2 linked regions of the Notamacropus eugenii genome follow. The protein of the gene in region 2 purifies or fractionates together with the protein of the main gene of each other region. This does not show direct contact. Links are inferred from orthologs where the notes say so. Each region holds a gene or a part of one and is shown on either strand. Other genes may lie near its edges.

What was found.
Region 1: the proteins of NRP1 (region 2) and FAM241A purify together in Homo sapiens (affinity purification with mass spectrometry; 3 studies listed by BioGRID and IntAct, with this or other methods). This does not show direct contact. The link is inferred for Notamacropus eugenii from reciprocal best matches to the Homo sapiens genes NRP1 and FAM241A.

Annotation. Positions count from the first base shown.
Region 1 is NC_092878.1:117,822,187-117,833,999, forward strand, and holds the start of FAM241A (uncharacterized protein FAM241A), read right to left. Parts: upstream 5,593-11,813; 5' UTR 5,464-5,592; coding exon 5,215-5,463; intron 1-5,214.
Region 2 is NC_092874.1:73,280,344-73,291,798, forward strand, and holds the start of NRP1 (neuropilin-1), read right to left. Parts: upstream 4,432-11,455; 5' UTR 4,353-4,431; intron 3,123-4,352; exon of another isoform or gene 2,932-3,122; intron 2,868-2,931; exon of another isoform or gene 2,695-2,867; intron 2,522-2,694; 5' UTR 1,980-2,521; coding exon 1,910-1,979; intron 1-1,909. UniProt on the Homo sapiens protein: Cell-surface receptor involved in the development of the cardiovascular system, in angiogenesis, in the formation of certain neuronal circuits and in organogenesis outside the nervous system. Mediates the chemorepulsant activity of semaphorins.

The sequences.
Region 1 (11,813 bases), on a different chromosome or scaffold from region 2:
ACCCTCCTGATGTCCTTGGTCCTTTTCAAGAATAGAGGGTAAACAACATAAACAAACAACAATAACCATATCCTGAGTGAGTCCCATCAAAAAAGTAATCTTCCATCAAGAATTTGGAGTAGGTAGGTGGTGCTGTAGATGGAGTGTTAAACCTGGAGTTAGGAAGATTCATTTTCCTGAGTTCAAATTTGGCCTTAGACACTTAACAAGCTGTGTGTCTCTGGGTAAGTCACTTAACTCTGTTTGCCTCAGTTTCCTCATCTGTAAAATGAGCTGGAGAAGGAAATGGCAAACCACTTCAGTATCTTTGTCAAGAAAACCACAAATGGAGTTAGAAAGAGTTAGACACAACTGAAAATGCTCATCAACAATGAGGATTTAATTACCTAGCCAGCTTACCTTTTACCAGGTGTTTCTACATTCCAGGGTAGCACTAAGATGACTCTTCTTGTTATTTCCTGAATGGCCTACTTCCTTTTCTTATGGACTGATTTGATACCCTTGAATTGCTTTATAATGCTTCTTGCATGGATGCCATCACTGGTAATATATTGCTATGGCAGCCTACTTCTAACCATTCGTTGACTTTTGGGTCACCCATAATTCTGACTCTTTGGAGATTTCATGATAGTGTTCCATATTTTATAGTCAAAAAGGCTTCACAGGGAGAGTACTGGTTTTAGAAAAAAAAAAGATGGGCTTTTCTGTCAGGGAACAGCTTGGGATACATGAAAAATACTTTTCAAATGCAATTCAGCTCATTCTCAATAACTGATGGAACCCAATTGGGACTTGAAAAAACAGAAAAACAAACTAAATAGTTTTCTGAGTTGTTTTTGTGATTTATTCACTGCTTTCCAAAATTATGTCATTTCATATGAATACCCACCAACATTGCTTCATTTCCATTTCAGGGGATTAAGGGATAAGAATACAAGCTCTTTTGCTACTTGACTCTCCTGTGTTTTCTACCATCCCTCAGCTGCCTTCTCCCCCTGGACTATGCCTCTGCTCAAATCCCTTATGCCATTGGTGAGTTACTTCTGGAGTCTAACCTTTGTTAAGGGCTCAGGGCTGCCATCCTTCATCCCCTTTCAAATTACACTTCTGACTCTCTGGACTTTGCCACAATGACCTTGCCATGGGTACCTTCTGGTCCTTTAAGCTCCCACTCCACCCCACCCCCTCCTTCCATCCTTTTCAACAATTTTTTATGTGCTGTCCTCCCATTAGAGGGAGGGCAGAAGCTGGCTTTCTTTTTGTTTGCATTTTGTATCCCCAATGTCCAACACAGTACCTAGCAAGTAGTAAGTACCTGTTGTTTGCCTGTCCCTGGAAGGCTACCAGAAAAAGAGGGAGGGAAGGTGGTGGTGGTTCAGAACTCTCCTGGTAACAATTTTTTGCTTCTACAGACAACAGGTGAAATTATAAATTACATTTTCATGATAAGATAACAATGAAATGTCTTTATGTTCATAACAGCTTATAAAAAGAGTTGCTTTTCCTCTAGAATTTGCTTCTGTCCCCTTTGAATGAATGCAGTTTCTAATTGCAATGAATTTTAATATGTTCTGGGCTCCTTGACTAAGAAGTATTCAATATCACTGGTATAGCTGTAATATTGACTGAGTAAATCAATCATGACTCCAGTGTAGTTTTCAACTACACAGTACTGTAAATTGCCAGTGGGCTTGGCTAAACACTTTCTTCCAGCCGCCAAATGGAATAATCTATTTCCATTTCAAAAGCCTATCTGAAACTGAACTTTGCATTTATAAAAAGAAGGAAAGATATACATGCCTTATAGTGACATAAAAAAATCTCTAATGCTACTAAGCATATTCCTTTGCTCTCTGGTTCATTTTTTTTTTTTTTGGTCAAAAATAACTTTTCATGACATAAGGGCCACAAATGAAGACTCACCTATATGGGCAACAAGTTGACCTCATAAGAATTGATAGCTAAGTGGAGCGGTAGTTAGCCTACCAGTCATGAAGACCTTCACTTGGGATATTTATTACCTCATGATAATGGGCAAGACCCTTAACCTCTTTCTGCCTCAGTTTCTTTATCTGTAAAACTGGAATAAGAATAACAGCACTGGTCTCACAGAATTATGAGGGTCCCATGAGATAATATAAGACACGTGCTTTACTGTAAACCTGAAAGCACTGTATAAATGTTAGCTATGATCAAATACTTTAGATCCATCTGATCACTTATTTAGGAATTTCTCTCTTGAATATTCCTCTCAGACACTACCCCTCCCCAAATCCCCCTACCCAAACTCATTTCAATTAGATTTCTGATTCCTAGGCTTATTTTTCCATTTCAGGGATTACGGTATAAGAAAGTCAAGTTTTTTGTTACTTAGTCACTGTGCAACCAACTCAGAGAAGGTTCCAGGAAGGGGCTTAGAACCATCCTGGTTACCAGTTCTTGGTTTTAGTCATCCCATAGTCAGCAGTGATAAATTAAGGTTGTCAAAGTTGAACTCAGTGCTAAAGTATATCTTTTTGGGTGCTTTTAAAAAAATTCTTTTTTTTTTTGCTTCATATGCTAAAATAATTTATCTTGATTGGAATATATACATACATACACACACACACACACACTAATTTAGAAATGGAGTTTGTGTTTGAGGAAAGGTAGAGCAGAGCAGGTGAGAAGGAAGAGACGTAGCAATTCTGTTCACCAAACTATAGGTCAGTCAGTCAGTGACCAAGCAATTAGTAGCTGCTGTGTGCCAGGCAATGTGATAAGTGCTAGGGATAAAAAGAAAGATAAAATAAACAAAGAGCTCATATGACATGTAGAAAAATCAAAGAAATGTAATATACAATAAAATATATTCTTGCTAACTAATGTGACTAGTAAGTGATTTACCTAGGTCATTTTTCATGCTACAAATTACTGTATTTACTAGTCAAAATTCACCTTAAACTTTGCTCCATTCCCTTTGACCACTGACCACTTCATTCTGTTTCCATTGCTTTGGTTATATACTGAGGATATTAAGAGACTGGAGCAGCCTAGGAGGGATTTTGGAGTTGCCTACTTTCTCATTTTCCCTTATCTCAGTTCCCTTCCACCTTTGATACTAACATAAACCAGTTTCTCTTTTTTCTTCTTTATCAGCATGCGATTCTATTTGCTTTCAGAGATTAGAAATAACTTGCTTGACATCAAAAAGCATCTGTTTGTAGTTTCAGTTCCTGATCATACACACAAAATACTGTATCTGTGTACCTATATGCTATGTACACAGTGTATATACAATCACATACAGAATTACAGAATGGCAGCATCGGTAGGGACTTTTGAGATCATCAGGCTCACTTCTCTCTTTTTACTCTGGGGAAAATCAGACCCAAAGAAATTCAGTGATTTGGGCAAGGTTATACCGCAAGTGAGCAAATTCAGGATGCTCATCTACATCTTCTGACTGAGCAATAAAGTAGAAAGAATACTGGATTATGTCCTCACATATAAGTCAGAAAATAAGCATTTATTAAGCACCTATTACATGCCAAATACTGGGAGAAGTATGGAACATATAAAGAAAGCAAAATACATATCCACATATATGCGGTGTATAAGGTAGTAAACAGCTGTTTTGAGACTAAAGAAAAGAAAAAAGAACTTGAATGAGAAGGGAGTTAGGCCAGATATAACACATTAGTGCTCTCCAGAATAGGGTAAGTATGGGTATATGTGAATATGGGTAAGTATGAGAATGACCTAAGAGGAAAACATATTTCCCAGGGCCTTTAAAATGTCATTTCACTCTTAAAGGCATGGATTTAGAACTGAAAAGGACCTTGGAAGTCACCCAGTTCAAATCCCTTTGACTGTTTATAGTTTCTGTGTCTATGCTAAAATCTCACCTTCTCTTCAAGAAGCCTTTCCTTTCTCCCATAATGTTAGTGCCTTCCCACTGAGCTTACCTTCAATTTACTTGGTATATATTTTGTGTAACAAATTATCTGCACGCTTTAGAATGTGAACTCCTTGAGAACAGGGGCTGTCTTTACCTTTCTTTGTTTCTCCAGAGCTTAACACAGCAATCAGCACACTTCAACAGCTTAATAAATACTTACTGACAAACTATACTATACAATACGTACACATACATGCATATATATAATGCTACATAGTATATGTCTGTGCATGTATATGATTCTTTGTATTCATACCATATATGCATAGTATATAAAGTGTGTATATGCTTTGTATATATACCATAGAAAGTATACATATGTATACATATTTCTTTGTAAACACACGTAGGATTCTTTGTATACAGACCAGATATGTATGGTGTGTGTGTTTCTATACACACACATACACTTCACATATACACACATGATTCTTATATATGGTACATATATGTTGTGTAGTATACACACATATGTATACATACACAGAACCATATAGCATACACACATGTATGGATAGTATGAGTGTATCTAGGCGTAAGTTACACATACACACATATATTTACCTATACACACACCATACTTATATGGTGTGTATACAAAGAAAGAATCAGGCCATGTCAGAGTTGGAGAGGAGTGTATGGTATGTATACCGGCTCATATAAAACCACACAATCTGAGAGTTGGAAAGGACTTCTGAGATCACTTGGCTGAATATTCTTCCTACCCTATGAGGAAATGGAGGCTCAGAGAGGGCATCAGCGACATGCCCATGAACACAGAAGTGGCAGAGCCAGGCTTCGAACTCGGGGGCAGACACTCCCCTTTTCCCCCTCGCTGCACCTTGCTGGGGGTGGGGAGGCATCCGAGCGCGAGGAGAGGACCCTCGGACTGCGGGGATGCCCAGAGCCGCGGGGCTGCCCCGGCTCCCCTTCGCGCACGCCGGAGAGCAGGCACGCCGCACCCCCTCCGCACCCCCTCCGCGGTCCTGTCCACGCATACACCTTGACCCAGATGCTCCCAGGCTGCCCACATGACGCAGTCCCCGGGCGGCCCCTGGAGAAGTGGCAGAGGGGGCAGCGTGCCCCCCGTACCCGCGCCGAGCGCGGACTCCGAGGCCGGGCAGCCGGGGCGCGGAGCCCGTCAGGAGCGAAACTTCCCCGGCGCCCGGGGTGGAGCAGCGCTGCGCTCCGGTCCGTCCCCCGGCTCCGGGCACGCACTGGCACCGGCCGGCGGGCAGCCCCGGGGCTCCGGCCCCGCTCGCCCGTTCGCTCACCTGCTCGGGCTGCTCCTGGCCGCCTCCTCCAGGACCACGCTGCTGCCGCTGCTGCTGCTGCCGGGGCCGCCCGCGCCGCCTCGGCTGCTGCTGCTGCCCCTCGAGCAGGCTCCGGCCGCCGTCCTCCGGCTCCTCCGGCTCCGCGGGCGCCGGCCCCGGCCCCTCCAGCCCGCACTCGGCTCCGTCCCCGTCCTCGTCCGGCTCCCCGTCGCCGCCCGCGCCGCGCAGCAGCTCCCCGGCGGAGCACATCCCGCCCCCTCCCCGGGGCCAAGTCCGGCCGCCCAGCTGGGAGGGGATCCGGGACGCACGCACGGCCTCGCCCGCTTCCGAGGCTTCCCTCTCGGACCCCCGCGACTGTTGACAAGCCGTTGGGCGGGAGGGCGCCGCCGGCTGGGCTCGGGGCCCCCGAGCGCCTTACGGAATCGACGCTCCGCCCAGCCCCGCCCCGGCTGGCCGGCCCCCAGGGGCAGAAGTGAGAGGCTCTGTCCCGCTCCCTTTGGGCACTCGCGAGCCCCGCCCCCGAGCCCCGCTGCCCCGCCTCTAGGGGCGGGGCCTCGGGGGACTGGGGAAAGGGGGGCGCTGGGGGCGGGGCCTGGGGCTAGCCCCGCTCAGGTGCGCGCCACCTCTGCGGCACCCTGCTCCTCCTGTCCTCCTCTCCCCGCGCTTCTTCCCTTTCTGCCTTCCCCCTTTTCTCTCTCTTCCCCCCACTGTTATTCCCCCCATTCTCCTCCTCCTTCCCTTCCACTCCTCTCTCTATCCCCTCTTTCTGTCTCTCTCCTCTTTTCTTGACCTCCCTGTTTCCCCCTCCCCTCTTTTTTCCTTTCCCCTTTATATAGTCTCCCCTTCCTAGTCTTTGTCCATCTTTACTTTCCCTCTTAATTTTTATTCTCACTTTTTTTATCTTCCAAATTCTTATTTCCCTCGCTCATCTCATTCACCTCTTCTCCTTTCTTCTCTCGGATTTAACCTCCTTTTACTCTTTTCCCTCTTTCTCTTCCCTTTTTTTTTTGCTCTTTACCTTTCTTCTCTTGCCCCTTTCTCTTTCCCTTTCTTTTCCTCTCTCCCCTTTTTCTTTCCGTATTTCTTTTTCTCCCTACATCTTTCTACCTGTTTCTCCTCCTCCTCTCTCCCTCTCTGTATCTCCCGTTTCCCTGACTTTCCCCATCTTCTTTCCTTTCTCCTCTTATCTCTCTTTCTCTGCTTCTGTCTCTTTCTGCCTATCCTTTTCTCTGATCCTTTTCCATTTCTTTTCTCTTCCCCTCTTTCTGTCTTTCTCCCTTTTCTCTTTTGCCCCTCCACTATCCTTTGCCTCCTCATTTTCCCTATGTCTTCTCTTTCTCTCTCCCCCTCCAGAATCTCCCACTCTGTCTGGACTTCCCCTCCTTTCTTTCCTCCTCCCCTCACCTAAGACTTGTTTCCCTTTTCTGTTTACTAACACTTAACTTCACTGGAATGCAGTCAGAAAATCAGCTCTGGAATGGAATCAAAGGACCTGGAATCCAGGCTTGATTCTGCCAACAAAACTAGCTGTATGACCTCCAGCAAGTGAATTCACCTCCCTGAGCTTCTTCATCAATAAAATGAAAGGCCAAAGGATCATAGATCTAAAGTGGAATGGACTTCAAAGATTATTTAATACAACCCTCTCGTTTTATAGATGAGAAAATTAAAATAACTTTAAATGCCCTGGACATTGATTGCCCAAGGACATACAGCTATCAGAGATGTAGATAAATCCTGATTCTCTGACTCCAGGATCAAAGTTTAGACTAGTTGATCTTAAAGGTTTTTCCTTCAGGCTTTAAAATTCTTTAATAGGTGTTTTCTTAGGATGAGCCCAGTGTTTAGGAGATAGAGCTACTTAGATAGATTATTAAATTCAAAATTCTCTTGGCCTTATGAGCTATTAAAAACAACAGAATTTCACAGTGGACAAATATATACTTTTAGACAAGACTTGCTCCTTCTTTCGGGAAGGAGGGGGTTAGAAAATATGTCATTGACTAGCATCAAACAAAAGGGAGGAAAGGTGGTTCCTTTCCTTTCCAAAAGTCATTAAAGCATGAGGGAGGATATTCAAGATTAAATACATAGAATTTAATGCCACCATAGAAGTAAAAGGTTTCTTTGGGACCAATTCCTTTTTTTTCTTCTTCTGATATCAGTACATTCCATTGCTGAAAATTTGTTTGCCATTGTTAATATTTGTGATAAAATCTGACTTGCTTTTAGAATTGGAAAAAAATAGAATTGTGCAAAAGTATAATAACTACACCAGGAGACTTAGGAGGCATGAGTACATTTAAGGATGACTAAGCAATATATCCCTCTTCCAATGACTTATTTTTTCTATCAACCCATAACAATTTTGAGACTGTATTAGCATATAAGGCCTATATCATATAATCCATATTATATATGCATATATACATATATATGTATGTCTGTATATATGTATATATATATATAGAGAGAGAGAGAAGATACTTCTTTACTTTCACCCTAGATCTTGAGACTTTAAAGAAAAGTTCATCTCCTTTATCTTCTATGCCCTTTCATTTCCATAAGCATTTATTGGAGATTTCCTAATATGATATAAAAAGTACTGGTTCTAATAGTTACTATTATCTGGATAATCTTGGGCAGATCACTTACCCTCCATGGGCCTCAATTTCCTCATTTGTAAAAAGCGGGTGCTAGACTAAGTGGCTAAGGTCTTTTCCATCTCTGTTTCAATGATCTACTGAGTGTCTACTTAATTTGATCAAAGCATGGCACCCATCTGATAGTATGATGAAGCTCAAACCCAAGAAACTGTTGTTCACGATATTAGGTGACATACCTTAGATAAATTTCAAATAATAGCTAAATCCAGTGCTTCCCTTTTCAGTCCTCATCCTCCTTGTTCTCTGTCTTCAGAAACTATAGTCTAACCTCCTAGACCCTTATCTCTTAGCGCCAGAAACAGTATACTGGCCTTGTTTTCCAGGCTTAATATTTAAACAAGAGTCATCTCAATAACATATTTCACTAGTGGTCATTCAACCTTTGCTTGTAGACCTCTACTAAGTCAGATCCCACTATTTTCCAGTCCATTCCGTTTTGGAAAATTGACTCTTAATTTCTAGGATTTTTTTTCTTTCTTTCTTGAAAACAAAATTCAATTTGCCTCTGTGAAACTTCTACTCTTTGCTTTCAGTGTTGTCTTTTGGCTCTAAGAAGAACAAGCCTAATGACAGTTCTTCAGTTGCCTGAAGATTTGAGTGTGTATCTAATCTAGACCTGAAACGGACCTTCGAGGTCATCTAGTCCAACTTGTCCAGGTTTCGATAGATAGTAAATAGAAGAGCAAGGATTCATGTTCAAGTTGTGGTTCAAGTTCAGTTCTCCTGTCACTGCACCAAATTATTTTGGCCTTGCTTCCTCCCCCCTTGTCCCCCTCCCCCTACTTCTTTTCTCGAGCTAACAGCTCCAGTTCCTTATGCAATATGCTCTAAATGTGTTTCACTATCTTATCTGTCCTCCTCTCAACATCTTCCAGAGTTTTATGTTATGTAAAATATAAGAGAGGGAAAACTAGCAATTTGGGGGATCAGGCACATGAGAGAAGTAGTATATGAATTAAGCTTTGAAAGATATATAGGAATTTGACAAGAAAATAAGAGGACAACTAAAGAATGAGAAAGGTCCAAGAAAAGAAAGCTCAGTTTTTTTGAGAAAGGAGTCTAATTTGACTGGAAGAGCAGTTCTCAATTTTTTTGGTCTCAGGACCCCTTTAACATTCATGAAAATTATTCAGGATATTCTTCAAAATTTTTTGTTTATGTGAGTTGTATCTATCAATACTTTTTGTATTATGAATTAAAGGTGTTTTTTTTTTTTTTAGTATTTTTAGAAAATGGTTTTGACTTCTTAGACTCCCAGAAAGGTCATGGGGTCTCTATGTTGCAATTCTACTGGTCTTGGGAACCCCAAACTGCAACGGCAAAAGGGCATGAGTCTGCCACTAAAGAATTTGACCACGCAAGCTTCTTTTCAGTCCAAGTTGTTTATTAAAACACCAGTTGGGGTGGGCGAGATTCCTAGTGAGTCTGTGCTATTTGTGATGCCAATACAAGTGGGCCAGATTTTAGGAATCTGAGCAATTTAGTAGGGGATATGGTTGATATTTTATACAGAAAGACTGTGCGAAAGATCTGGATGTGATCTAGGAGCAGAAAGTAGCCTAGAAAGGACTGGAGGTGACAGAGAGGGGTCTAGATGAGATTAAGGAGTGGGAAGTAGTGTGGGGTGGTCCATAGGTAACACATACTGAAGGCCTGCTTGGGTTGGGGCCACAGTGAAAGGACAGTTGGAAGGATTATTGAATATCTAGAAGGGGATGTGTGGGAAAGTTCAGGAGCTGGGTAGCATTTTGGGGTTTCAGGTCCCATACCCCATCATCTAGGAGTCACTGAACCTCACTTTGAGAAACCACTGAGCTAGAAGATAGAATCTGGGGAAGAATGTTATAGGCAATAAGGTTTTAAAGGTTGAGGGGTACCATATTTTGGGGAGAGATCTTGAATTCTAGGTAAAAGATTCAAACTTTATCCAGTGGAAAATGAAAAGCCCTGGAAGATCTTTTGAGCAGAGAAGAGACTGAGGAAGATAAATCTCAAGAATTTGGTATTCAGGCTACATGGGAGATAGTAGAACGAAAGCAGGAAGAGCAGTAAGGAGGCTGTAACAATGATCTAGACTGATAGCAATGACATACTGACAGTGGGAACAGAGTTGGGAAAAATCAATGTAAAAGTAATTGCAAAGGTGGAATCTGCAGTATTCAGTAATGGAGTTCATAGGAAATGTGGAGAAGACAGACAGATCAGGGAAAACACCAAAGTTCTGAAGATGAGAGATTGGGTAAAATGGTGGCATAATCCTCAGAAACAGTGAATTCCAAATTCTTTATCTTCCCTCCCCCACCAAGTCCTTCTACTCTTCCTAATTTTCCTGTTATTGATGAGAGCACTACCATTATCCTCAGTCACCCAGGCTTAAAACCTAGGTATCCTTCTTGACTCGTCACTCTCTCCCACTTTCTGTATCCAATCTGTTGCTGAGTCTTGTTGATTCCACCTTGTGAACTACCTTTTCTTCTCGGACACTTGCCAACCTGGTGCAGGCCCTCATCACATCATGTTTTGACTATTGCTGTAACTTTCTGGTTGGTCTTCCTGCCTCAAGTCTCTGCCAACTCCAAGTCTATACTCCACTCAGTTCTTAAATTGGTCTTGACTGTGTCATCATCATTTATTATTCAACAAACTCCAGTGGTTCACCATTACTTCCTCTGTTTGGTGTTTAAACCATTCATAACCTGTCCCATTCTTACTTTTCTAGTCCTCTAATACCTTACTCCCCTCTCTGTACTCGGTGATCTAGTGACACTGTCCCCATTTCTTGTCTCACACACAAGATACGCATCTTCCAACTCAAGACAATTTTTTCCCAAAATTTATTTATTTGTTTTCAATTTTCAACAATCACTTTCATAAGTTTTAAATTTTATCCCCCAGCTTTCCCTCTCCAAGATGGTATGCAATCTTATGTGGGCTCTACACATACATTCTTCATATTTTCACATTAGGCATATTGCATAGAAGAATTAAAATGAATGGGAGAAAGCATGAGTAAAACTAAACAAAACCAAACATAACAAAAGAGAAAATAGTCTGCTTCATTCTGTGTTCTGACTCCATAGTTCTTTCTATGGATGTGGATGGCATTTTGCATCATGAGTCCTTTGGAAATGTTTTAAGTCCTTGCCTTGCTGTGGAGGACTAAGTCTATCAAAAACAGTTCTTGAACACTTTGGCTGTTATTGTGTGTAATGTTCTCCTGGTTCTGCTCACTTCACTCAGCATCAGTTCATATAAGTCTATCCAGGTATTTTCAAGACTATTTTTATTGGCTGTTTCCTAATGCCTAGAATTCTCTCCCCCCTCATTTCTGTCTCTTAGTCTTTCTGGATTCCTTCAAGTACCAGTTAAAACTCTGCCTTATGCAAGAAATCTTTCCCTAGCCCTGTTAATTATCTCCAATTATTCTGCATATATCTTCTTTGCACAACGTTGTTTATATTTTTGTCTTTTCCACTAGATTGTGAGTTTCTTGAGAGCAGGGACTGGTTGTTTGCTTTTGTATCCCTAGTGTCTATCATAGAGTCAGTGAGTAATAAATGCTTATTGACTGGATTCAAAAGAAGAAATAGGTTCAGGTGGAAAGATAATTTTTTCTTCTGCATATATTAAATCATCTGTGCTGATGGAAAAAGAAGTCGGGGTTGAAATAGATTTGGCAGCCATATGCATCGAGATTGTAGTAAGAGTACTGGAGTAAATGGGACTGTCAAGGAAGAAAGTTGTAGAGGGACATGAAAAGAAGGACCAATGACAGAATCTTGGAGGACATTCATATTGATGTTTTAAGGAGAGTATGCTGTTTCAAGAGCCAGGAGATTAAAAAGTATCTAATAAGATAGGGCCCACAGTGTCAGAAGCTGAAGAGAGGTCAAGGAGGATGAGGAATGAATAAAAGACCGTTGGATTTAACCA
Region 2 (11,455 bases):
GACCCCGTCTCATTAAGTCTCCTCCAGCTCTGTGCAAACAACATGGCAGAATCTGGCATCTGTTAAAAGAGTGAAATAAAACAGCTCTGCTCCTAGTCACTTGACAAGAGTCCCTTCAGAAGACGATTAGGTGGGCTCGGTACCACCAATGCTCTTTAATCTATGACTTCTGAGAAAGTGACAGTATAATAAGATAACTGGACTGCTAGACTCTCTGGCTCTGTTAAATCTCTCTAACAGTTGATTAAGAAAGAGCAGTTTCTAATGACTCAGGACCATTAGTCCTAAATAAGGTTAATGAATTAATTTAGCAGGCACTGGCATTTGGGAGGAGGTGGACATGGCTTTAGAAGCTCTGATAAGTTAAAGAGGGTGGCCTTGGTGACTCCACTGCTGCTGGAGCTTTTTTTTTTTTCAAACTCTAACTGAATGAGTGGCTGCATCTCTGTTTCTTTACCAGTCCCCATTACTCCTGCTAAGCATTTGAAGAAATATGACATCGTAGTTGCTATGTAATTTTCTACAACCTTTTGCATTTGATTTCAAATCCCCTATTGGTGCACTTCTCTCACCATACATACAAAGTCTGCCATGAATGAGGTGGGGGGGAAGGCTGTTAATTTCCAAGTACTGGTCAGTTGAACTCATTCAAATGGAAGAGGGGATTATCTTACCCCCCCCCCCCCATACCCTTGCTATGAGAGTTCAGAAAGATACCACCAACTGGAGTTCATTAATAAGTCACAAATTAACATTCACACATTTTTACCTTCCTAGCATATTTGCGAGAACACGGTGGTTGCGGAGGGGGGAATCTATTGCTTAAATCACACAGCCTCCTGAAAACATATTAGAGAGATTAACTTCCATCATAAAACCCTGATTTAAATTCCTCTCAGTATAAAACACTCCACTTGTGGTCTCTTATTAAAACAATATACCACAATAAGTAGTGGATGTTCTTTTCTTCTAATTACTTTGATTGAAATCCAAGTCAGGCAAAAGCAAATATTTGATAATTAGTTAATAATAATTGCTGAAGGCTTAACTGAAAAGAGATTTTCACATCCCAGCCTTCACCTACTTTAAAGTGGGAGGCAAACAATCCCAGAGCCAGATTACATTTTAAAATATTATTTATGTTACATGGTCCTGTTTATAGCCCACATATTCTGTCGTTTACTTAACCCGAAGAGATTTTAAAATCAAACTGAACAGTGGAGATTTTCAAATAAGCTCATCTCCTACGCTGTAGATATCAAATTCCTTTATTGACACTGGAACTTTCATTCAAACTCCAGACTTTCATGACAGGATTGGGGGACAGATGACTAGCAGCACTCGGAAAAACACACATCCCGCATCAATACCTGCGGATACACACCAGAGCCTGCTGGATATTTGGGATACTAAGAAGCCTAGGAAGTTTCCTCTTTAAAGCGTTCATTAACTTTCAGCAGCCATCAAAATTTTGAAAGGGATTCTCATCTAATTGCCTTTGGGAGGAAACATTATTACGATAATTGGTGCGCTGATCTGGTAAGGTAGGCAATTTTGCTTTGTAACAGAGAGGAAACACACACACACACACACACACACACACACACACACACACACACACACACACACACACACACACACACACACACGTTCTGAAATCCTCTTGATGTAAAACGCTTAACATCTTCTCCTCCCCCCTCCAAAAAAGTTTCGTTTAGGCCATGAGAAGGCTAGCGAGTGCCCGCGTCCCGAGCAGCTGTGGCGAGGTGCCCACCCAGCTAGAAGGCGCAGGCGAGTCCTCACTCGGAGCAGCGCCCACCCGGGGTTCCTGCGCCCTCCAGCCCGGGGCCCAGCGGCGTGCGTGCGGCTGTCAGACGCTCCTCTCCCGCCGCCTGCTGCTGTCACTTACCGTTCCGAACCGCGCTGGTAAGGGCAACCGTGAGCGCGGCGCAGTGCAGGACGAGCAGCCCCCAATCCATTCTCCTCAGCCAGGACGCGGAAAGCCTCAGGCAGAGAAAAAAAGACTCGGGGAGGGGGACGAAGGAGACAAATAGAAGGGGGAGGGCAGAAGGGAAAGGGGGGGAAAAAACTCCCTGGACCGCCCCAAGTCCTCCCGCAGCTTGAAAATCCTTCAGGCTGACTTAGAGAAAAGCAAGCAGCAGCGGAACACTGCCTTGATCCGGGAGAAATGCTTCTCTTTTTGTGTCTCAAGTCGCCTGCATCCTGTCATTTAGCTCCGGTTTCCTCTCTCTTTTCCCACACTTGTTCCTCTTCCAAGAGCCGCTGCCCGGGCCATTTCCAAAAAAAAAAAAAAAAAAAAAAAAAAAAAAAAAAAAAAAAAAATCCCAACGTGCGGGTGGGTGGAGAAGGTCTCGGTGTTGGAGGGAGGAAGAAGGGAGACACGGATAGCCTAAAGACAATTTCCAAAAAGGAAAGAAGAGGGGAAAAAAATCCGGTGTCTTTTTTTTCTTGACCCCCTTGAAACTGAAGAGATCGCGCCCAGGGGAGGTCCGGTGGGTGTCTGCGGGAAGGAGAGAAGCAAGCAATTGAAATGATGAGCCGAGACAGAGAGGAGTTTCACAAACTGCACACCCGCCTCTTTTTCCCCTCCCTCTCTCCTTCCGTCTTCCCCTCCCCTCCTCTCCTCTCCCCTTTTCCTCTCTTTCTCCCTCCCTCTTTCCCCGATAAGCTCGCCTGTAAATCGCCTGACAAGAGGCAGGCAGCAGAGTAAGTTTCCCTCAGTGTTTTTCTCCGTCAGTCCGTCTGTCTCTGAGTCCCCGCTAGGGCTCTCTAAGCGTAGGAGGTGTATGTGTGGAAGGAAGGCGCCAGGGGCAATGGGTCTCGGTGCCAACTAGTAGGCAGTCTCTCCTTGGGCAGTGGAAAAAGAAGGGCACAGCTAGCAAAGCAAGGCAGGGCCTCCGTGTGACCTGCCTGTAGGATGCTGCTAGCTCCGGGGTTGGAGGGACCCGGGAGAGGAGTCCTGGGGTAGCAGCAGCAGCCGCCGCAGAGAGAGGGACTCGAAATCCTGGAGGACAGGAGTGCCAAACGCCCGGGAGGCGGCAGCTTGTTCTTGCAACTCACAAGTCGCCTGCTGCTGCTGTTGCTGTTGCCACCGCTGCCACTGCTGAAGGAGGAGAGGGGTTTGTCTGCACCCAAGCCAGCAGAGGCGCAGCTGTCCCAGCCCCCACCCCTGCCTCCCTGACCTCTCCAGCCCCCATAGTGGTCTCCGGAGCTCCAGTGTCGGTTGGAGGAGAGGTGGACTGCGCCTTCCCCACCTTCAGACAGGCTGGGGGATGGCAGCCAGTTCCACTTAAAGCCAAGTGAAATCGATTAAGCGTAAGATGCCCATCTGCCTCAAGAGACAACCCAGGGCAGGGAGTCTGAGCAAGCAGCTTGGGGGGGGGGGTAACTCAGGCTATACAACTCGGTGCCCGGGGCGCTGCCCACCCGCTCCATTGTTCACCAGTCCCGGGTGCCCTGTAGCCCAAAGGTGGAGGGGAAAGGACAGTAGGGGATCTGGATCCAAGTCGAGATATAACTGTCGCCCAGCCCCACCCGTTCATTTTGCTTGTGAGCCTAGGTGCTCCTCGGTTCCCATTTTAAAGGCACCAAGCCTACTGTGTCCCTAGATTCCCAAGGGGAAGGAGAGGAGGAACCTTTGTCCACCTCTACTGAGCTTCGCTGCACCCTTCCAGCAACAGGCAGGGAGCATGTAGGGGCTGATCTTCTAGCTTCTCTCTCCCCCACACCCCCGCCCAACTCTCGTCCCTCTTGGGAGGGGTGTTCAGACCAGCAACTGACTGGTCCCTGGTTCCCTCACCCTAGGATTCTTCCTAGCTCCTTTCACAGATAGCGGCTATTGAAGATCGTCAGTACACCAGAACAGATAAAACATTTCACATGGAATAAACAGGAGGAGACCAAGGGATTAAGCACTCTAGGTAGACAGTTGCCCCGAGGATAGCCACGGAAGCAGGATGTTTTGGAAACCGTGAGGTCACGGCATTTCCCCAGTGTTTGGCGCTTATTGACACACCCCGAAATCGGAACTTACTCCTACTTGGCACGCGAGAGAGAGAGAGATCTGTCAAGGGCAATTTACAGAGAACTGGAAAAGGAGACTAGACAAGGAGCCCGGGATCCTGGCTACACAACCAGGGAGTGCAGAGAGAGCAAGTGGGAAATCACGCGTCTCCTCCCAGAGCACTGTTAGGGGCGTTGGTTCCAAATCCCGAAATAGTGGAGCCCAGAGAAGTACTCTCTGTTCTGGGTCTCCACGCTGCTTGTCTATCTCCTGCGGGGCTAGAGGATGGACTGGTGCGTCAGTCTCAAGCCCATCCCAAAGCACTCACCCAAACTGCCTGCTGTCTCCCCTTCCCCCGGAGCCTTTCCCCATGCGCCGCCTGCTGAGTACCTCTCACCCAATCTCCTCACCTGAGACCCCGACCAACCCTGCCCCCTGGCACGCCTCCTTGCCCGTCTCCAGCCCTTAGATCCGCCCCTACTCCCGCCTCCCTCAAGGAGGCCGCTGGAGGCGCTGCTAGGGAAGCTAGACTCTGGCTAGGGTGCCAGCGCTAAGCAGGCGAGGGTGGGATGTGCGGTAGCGTATTGTAACAAGGCATAACGCAGCCTTGCCCATCTGACCGACGAGCGGGAAGGGCTCCCTCCCTGAATCCCGGGCTGGCGTTCTTTCCTGTCTTTTTGTCTCAACATCTCTCTTCCTCCTTCCCTCTCCAGCCAGCCTAGTAACTGCAATCCAGCTTCTAATCTACATGGAGCCAGCCAGGAACACAAAGGTCTGAGGGGTTGCTCGTCCCCCTTCCCACCGCCCATTCAGAGGCAGAGGTAGAAAAACAACCCGAGGGTTCAGGCAGGTTGACAAAGAGTTGGGCAGTGGGACCGGTAGGAGTGTCCTGGGGACATCCCGGAGTCGGCTCCGTGTGTGCTCAGCCTGTGTTCGTCCCTCTAGTCCTCCTCTTTCAAGGCTTTCAAGGCTAAGCCAAGGGGGCTCGCAAAGAATAATTTTTCTCCTGTTTTTTTTTTTTTGTCTGCTTTTAGAAAAGTGCTAGTTCTCTTTCCTTGCTGAGTGCTGCCTTCCTGTTATCCATCTCCCAAACTATCAGATTTGAGATGTCCTTCTATGCCACCCTACCCCCAAGGACCCCCTGGCAGAACTGTTCAATGTAAACTGTTCGCTTTTCCTTCTCACCAGCTATGGGCATTTGCCAACTTCTTTCTTCAACCACCTTAAAAAAAATTAGCTCTGCAAGATGAATAAATCCTGATTTCCGAGTCCTATTATTCCCCCTATGTCCAACCCCTAAATCCTCCCACAATTTGCCTAGTTTTAGCCGGCCTGGCTGCTGGTTTTTGTTCCAGCCTCGCCTTGATTTCCCCGAACGCCTGCATGGGGGCTGATCCAGAGAAAACTACTTGCTTATTACCTCTTTTCTGACACCACCAGTACTGCTGTAAAAAACCAATCAGAGATTTCTACAAGCTTCAGAAAGAGGTGGGGAGGGGAGCACAGGAGTAGTGGGTAGAGGGAGGAGAGATTGACGTCCATAAGAGAATAAGGGAGAGACCCTTGAGGTATTTAGCAGTTTTCCCTAGGTTAGCATTATTTTAAGGTCTCACCTGATCCTGAGTTTGGGCTGATGAACACCTCATTCAAGCTTAAGTCCAGCCAATATTCTGACCTGGTCAGACCCAGTTTCGTTGAATTAAGCATTCACCCACTAGCATTTTCATTTCATTGAGCCAGGGCTTGGTCCTTGAATCAGCAATATCCAGTTTCATTGACGCTCCCAGAAGCTACTCAGGCCCCAGAAGCTGGCTTTGATCCCACTGAGCCAAGCTGGAATCAGTGGGCTTTTTTTTTTTTTTAATGAATACTGTGTGGTAAAAGCTCAATATCTTCCATCATCTTATCAATTTGTCAGAAATTAGTTTAGATCCACTGTCCCCAGAAGGCCATTTTGACCACTCAACTTTATCAAATAATTTTGGGTTGAAGCAATATGGAAAATCAAGTCGACATTTTAGAATTCAGTGAAAGACTGTAAACACCCAGACACATTTAATATTGAAAAGACTCAACGCAGAATACAATTAATACTCAGAAGAATGGGTAACTTTAAAAAATTAAACACCAAAAACATAATTAAAGGTGAACTGCAATTAAAATTTATTCCATTTTAGGTAGAATGGCAATCATATTAAGTGGCACTACCATATAAATAATGTAATTTACAAAGAAAGCATGCAGGACCCTATTTACAGCTATCCATCTCCATTTTAAATAGCAGCAGGGGAAGGAAAAAATAAACAATCCTTCATGATAGCTCAAGTCAGATCTTTGAAAAAGGAACATAATATTGGAGAAAAACCCAACAATATGCATTTTTAAGTCAGTGCCATACAAGTGACTTTTCAGTAAGGGGATATATGAGAAGTCACATAGTATCAATGTCCAACTTTAAATGTTGCACCTAGTCTGAGTCAATAAGAAGGTTCCCTGAGGACAAGGGATCTAATCTCATTGTTCTGTATTAATGTATTTAGAGTCTAAGTTATGAAGTTTCTCTGAGTGAATTTTAAAACAAAAATCATTAAAGGAAATTAAGTGAAATTAAAATCATATTAGACAATATGAAAATCATTAAGCAATTAAATTTAAAAATCATTAGGTGAAAAAATATATGAATGACAATTTAGAAAGAAGTTATGTTCAAATTATTAGAGAAATTTAAGAACATCATCAAAGAATACTCAAAATACAAAAGAAGTAACTTTCCCCTAAGATTTAACTGAAATCTTATAAAGTAAATAAATTTTAAAATAAGTTCAGAAAAATATTGAAACAGTAAGTATTTTATGACTTCATAGAGAATTTAAAAGTTGATTCTATTTTTCAAATATAAAACCAACAGACTCAAAGCCACAGCCACTTTTACCTTTTATGGTTTCCTTTACAATTTACCAATATAGGTAGTTTCTAATTTACAAGACTGTTGTGGTCTAAAAGTTTCTTTGTAAGTCAGTTGTTTAGGGCTCTAGTAATTTCCCATGGAAAACATGGTGGTTCTCAAAAACCCGCAAAGGGCTGTTTAACCCACAGTGAAACTGAATCATAGAATTCTATTATTTTAGGGTTTGTTTAGGGAGTGTGTGTGTGTGGGGGTGAACTACCCTGGGAATATAGCCACTTTATTAACACATTTTCTTTGAAAAATATTCCAAATTATGTAAGGAGAAGAAAGCTCAGGGAGATCTGGAACATAGAGTTCCCCCTTTCCTTTTGCATAACATATCCGGAATGAATGTTGGTATCTAAAGGCAGGCAGCAACAGGGAAACATCATATGCCACTCACCCTCCCTTCAAGGTAGATGAGGAAGCCACTGATTGCCTTATCTGAATCTAAAAGGGAACAGTTTTGTAAACTTGAAGAAAATTGATTATGTTCCAGAAGGAGTTGGGACCCCAAAAGGGAAAGACTGTTGATGTTTATCTCTGTGAGTCAGGAAATACCTGTAATACAAAAAATACTTTGGCTATTGGAAATTTAAAATAACATGAAAATTATTTTCCATTTTCTTGATAATTCCAGCAAAGCAATGCTAGATTTGGTGTTGCTATCACTTATGGGAAAATTATCAACCTTTGCTTATATAAAAGGAGTTGACCAGGGGATCCCTGGTCAATTTGATGAGTTCTCCTCCTTTCTCCTCCAAATTGATGAGATTCCAAGAGTGAAAGATATGCAATCTAGTACCTTTAGAAGAAGACTCAGGGAATTCCTCTGATTAGTTCCCAGTGATTCTGGCTACCTCCAAGATGAGTAGGACCTAAGTTAGGAGTGTGAGGTGGTGGGGTGGGGACAGACAAGCAATTTGGACCTTACCAACCCCTCTATTGCCATGAGTTGCTCAGATGATACAGGTGTAAGCTGAATGGAAAGTATTGAAAAAGAAATGTATGTTTCTGGGTATATATGTATGTATATATGTATATGTATGTGTGAGAGCCTAACAGACTGTTGGAGTGATTGATTTTTCTGTACTTGTTCATACACTCCCATGAGTCCTTTGTGTCTTATGCATTTTCTCTAGTGGGAGAAATGAAAGCATATGTATGTTTAGTGCTCACTGAGGAGGTGGGGGTCCTTGTTACTAATATTTGGACAAACTTAGTGTAAGTCATGCCCAAAATTTATTCTGGAGATTTCTTATGAGTGAGACATCTAGGGAGGGAGCAAAAGCCAGAGGGGGAAAAATGACCTTCTTGAGGAGGTAGTTAGAACTCTGGAGTGGCCTTGGGTCTTTGTGAACCCAGAGTCTGGGAGGAGGGAGAACACTGATCTTGGGCACTATTTAAATTGGATTTGGCATTTTATACTGAAGGCAGATTTTCACACAATCAAATGAATTGCAGGCAGGCAAGAACAAATACACATTTATTAACCAACTATTATGTGCCAGGCACTGTGCTAAAGTCTTTACAAACCTTCTCTCATTTGATCCTCAAAACAACCCTGGGAGGTAGGTGCTCTTGTTATCCCAGCTTTACTGCTGAGGAAACTGAAGCAGACCTAGGTTAAGTGACTTGCCTAGGGTCACACAGCTAGGGAATGTCTAAGGTTGGGCTTGAAATTGGTTCTTCCAGACTCCAGGCCAGGCACTCTAGTCACTAAATCACCCTGCCACCATGCACACAAACCTTAAAATAATCCAGAGAAAAGATGGAGCTGTAGTTACTTGGACCTAGTAAACACAGTCTCATTCCTGTCCTCAGTTTAGTTTCCAGCTGTGCTCCTCAGATCTGAACAGGGTCTTGTGCGTGCTAGGTACCTAGGAAGTACTGATGATCCATCCTTAGCTCCATTCTTTATCTCAGTGGAACTGCTGGAAGGCCAAGTAATGGATTCTGTGGCGGAGTGGAGAAGAACAGGGCTTTCTTGGAAAGTTTATAGACTAGAATAGCGTCAGTTCACACATAACAACAGATTCCTAGCTTTTTCAGGCAGTTTCTTAAAGTTGTCAAATGATTTTAAATACCCCCAACAAAAATTCAAAACACGAATGTTGACAGCCAAGAGAAATATCTAATAAGTTCTGAGTGGGTCTCCCTCTCTATTGCCTTACTTCATCTTCCACCAGAAATTTTTCAATGAAAATTCTGTGTATAGACTAGGTCAGGGGTGGGGAATCTGGATTCAGTCAAAGTGCCACACTTCAGGACATAAAGGGCCACATGTGACCTCAAGGCTTCAGGCTCCCTACCCCTGACTAGGCAAAAGGAAATATGGACATTGAGGACGTGAGATTTTAGAGCAACAGACTATTAAACTATACACACACACATACACGTGTATACGTATATATATACACACATACAGAAATATATTTATATACACATATTTACATAAACATATGTGTATATAATTTTTTTTGGCAAAGCAATCAGGGTTAAATGACTTGCCCAGGGTTACATAGCTAGTAAGTGTCAAGTGTCTAAAGCCAGATTTGAACTCAGGTTCTCCTGCTACCTCAGTGTCCCCAAATATATATTATCTTAAAGGGCCAGAGTCAGAATCATCTTCCTGAGTTCAAATCTGGCCTCAGATGCTTACTAGTTGTGTGACCCTGTGAAGTCCCTTAACCCTCTTTGCCTCAGTTTCCTCATCAGTAAAATCAGCTGGAGAAGGAAATGGCAAACCACTGCAGTATCTTTGCCAAGAAAACCACAGATGGGGTCATGAAGAGTCAGACACAACTAAATAACAAGAAAAATATTTTATTTTACTTTAGTTTTTTATTATTTATTTTTAACACAGTTTATAACAGATAAAGCAATTCCAACTTTTGGTCAGGCGATACTTCTTTTTAAAGCATTTACAATATGGACCACAAAAGAATTTTTTTAAAAACATTAACCAACTGAGACATAAATAATATTTATGTTGCTAACTTCAAAAGCTCTTGACCTAATTGTCTCCACAGTATTACTAAGAATTAAAGGACCCTAACTTATTGTTGTTGGTCTAAAGTCCTATGCCTAATAGCTTAATTTTAGACAACCTCAAATGTTCCCCTACCCATAATCTATAACTGAATAGATCTGGTATTAAGCTTACAAACCTTTTGACTATAGGAAATTGCCACCAAGAGTAGAGACAGTGCAGGGATATAATATTTCCCCAACTTCATGTCACTTCCAGGCAGGATTAGATTATCCACTTGCATTGTCAGGCTTAAAGTCTGCCAGGTGTCAGTGGGGAAATTGAGTCAGGAGAATTCCACCTCAGCCCATGCTGAACAGCTGCTCTCCCACCCTTCCCTTGAGATCACCTATGCAGTTCATACTAGCATGTCATCAGTTTACTGGCATTATGGATTACAGGCTCAGATTGCCTTTCTTGGTACCTATACCCAGAATTAGACTCAGAAGAACAGTCACTTAACAGTCCCATAGCATCTAACAATGGCAAATTCCAATAACCAGGAAGAAAAATATTTTAAAAGATGAACTCCCTTGGAGCAAGAAGAGTATTACAATTTTTTTCTTCATAACCTCAGAACCTATCACCCCTCCTTGTCCTCATTAGATGCTTAGTAAATGAACAAAATGGAATATAGCCTTAAACATAAAATAAAAAGACCTCCAAAGCAGAATGTCTACACTGATCACAAATTGTGTTCAGGTAGACACTGGACTCATATATCTTAAAAGCAAATCTTCATTTTCTAAATGGAGAAACTGAGGCACAAAGCCTTCACTTCAAGAGCAGCTGGAAGAGCAGAGCTAAGCCATACTACCAGCCTTGTTTCCAGCCTGTTGTAGCCATCACCCAGGGAATCAACCGGGTTGAGGGGGATGGTTGATGAAATTTGTCAATTGCTTCTGCAAGAGCTGAAGACTCTTTTTCCTTCAGAAATATAATTACTGAAAACTGGGAAAAGAAAGTTCTCACATCTAACCTCACTACCAAATAGTCCAACCTCAGAAATGGCTATGGTTTTATTGGTGGAAATTGCATCGAAAAAGATAGATTATTACTTGCTTTGTAGTTCTGCTCTGAAGGCCACGGCACCTTTCCATCTGATTTGCAGCTAAAACTGCCTCCGTGTTACCTCTCTCCATTAGAATGTGAGCTCCTTGAGATCAGGGTCCATTCTGCCTTTTGAATTGCATTCCTAGGTCAACACACTGCTTTGTACATAGTAAGCACTTAATAAATGCTCTTTAATTCATTTATTCACAGAGATTACCTGACTTGGCAAAAATCACATAACTTTGTCACAATAGAGGTGCAAATGGAAACTTGGCATTCTGAATCTAAAGCCAGTGTCACAAAGAATGTGGACCTAAGATTTACAAGTCAAATAGGATGAAAATCCCAAATTTATTTTGGGTAAGTTCTTAGGTATTTGAGCAGATCTGTAGTTTGTGCA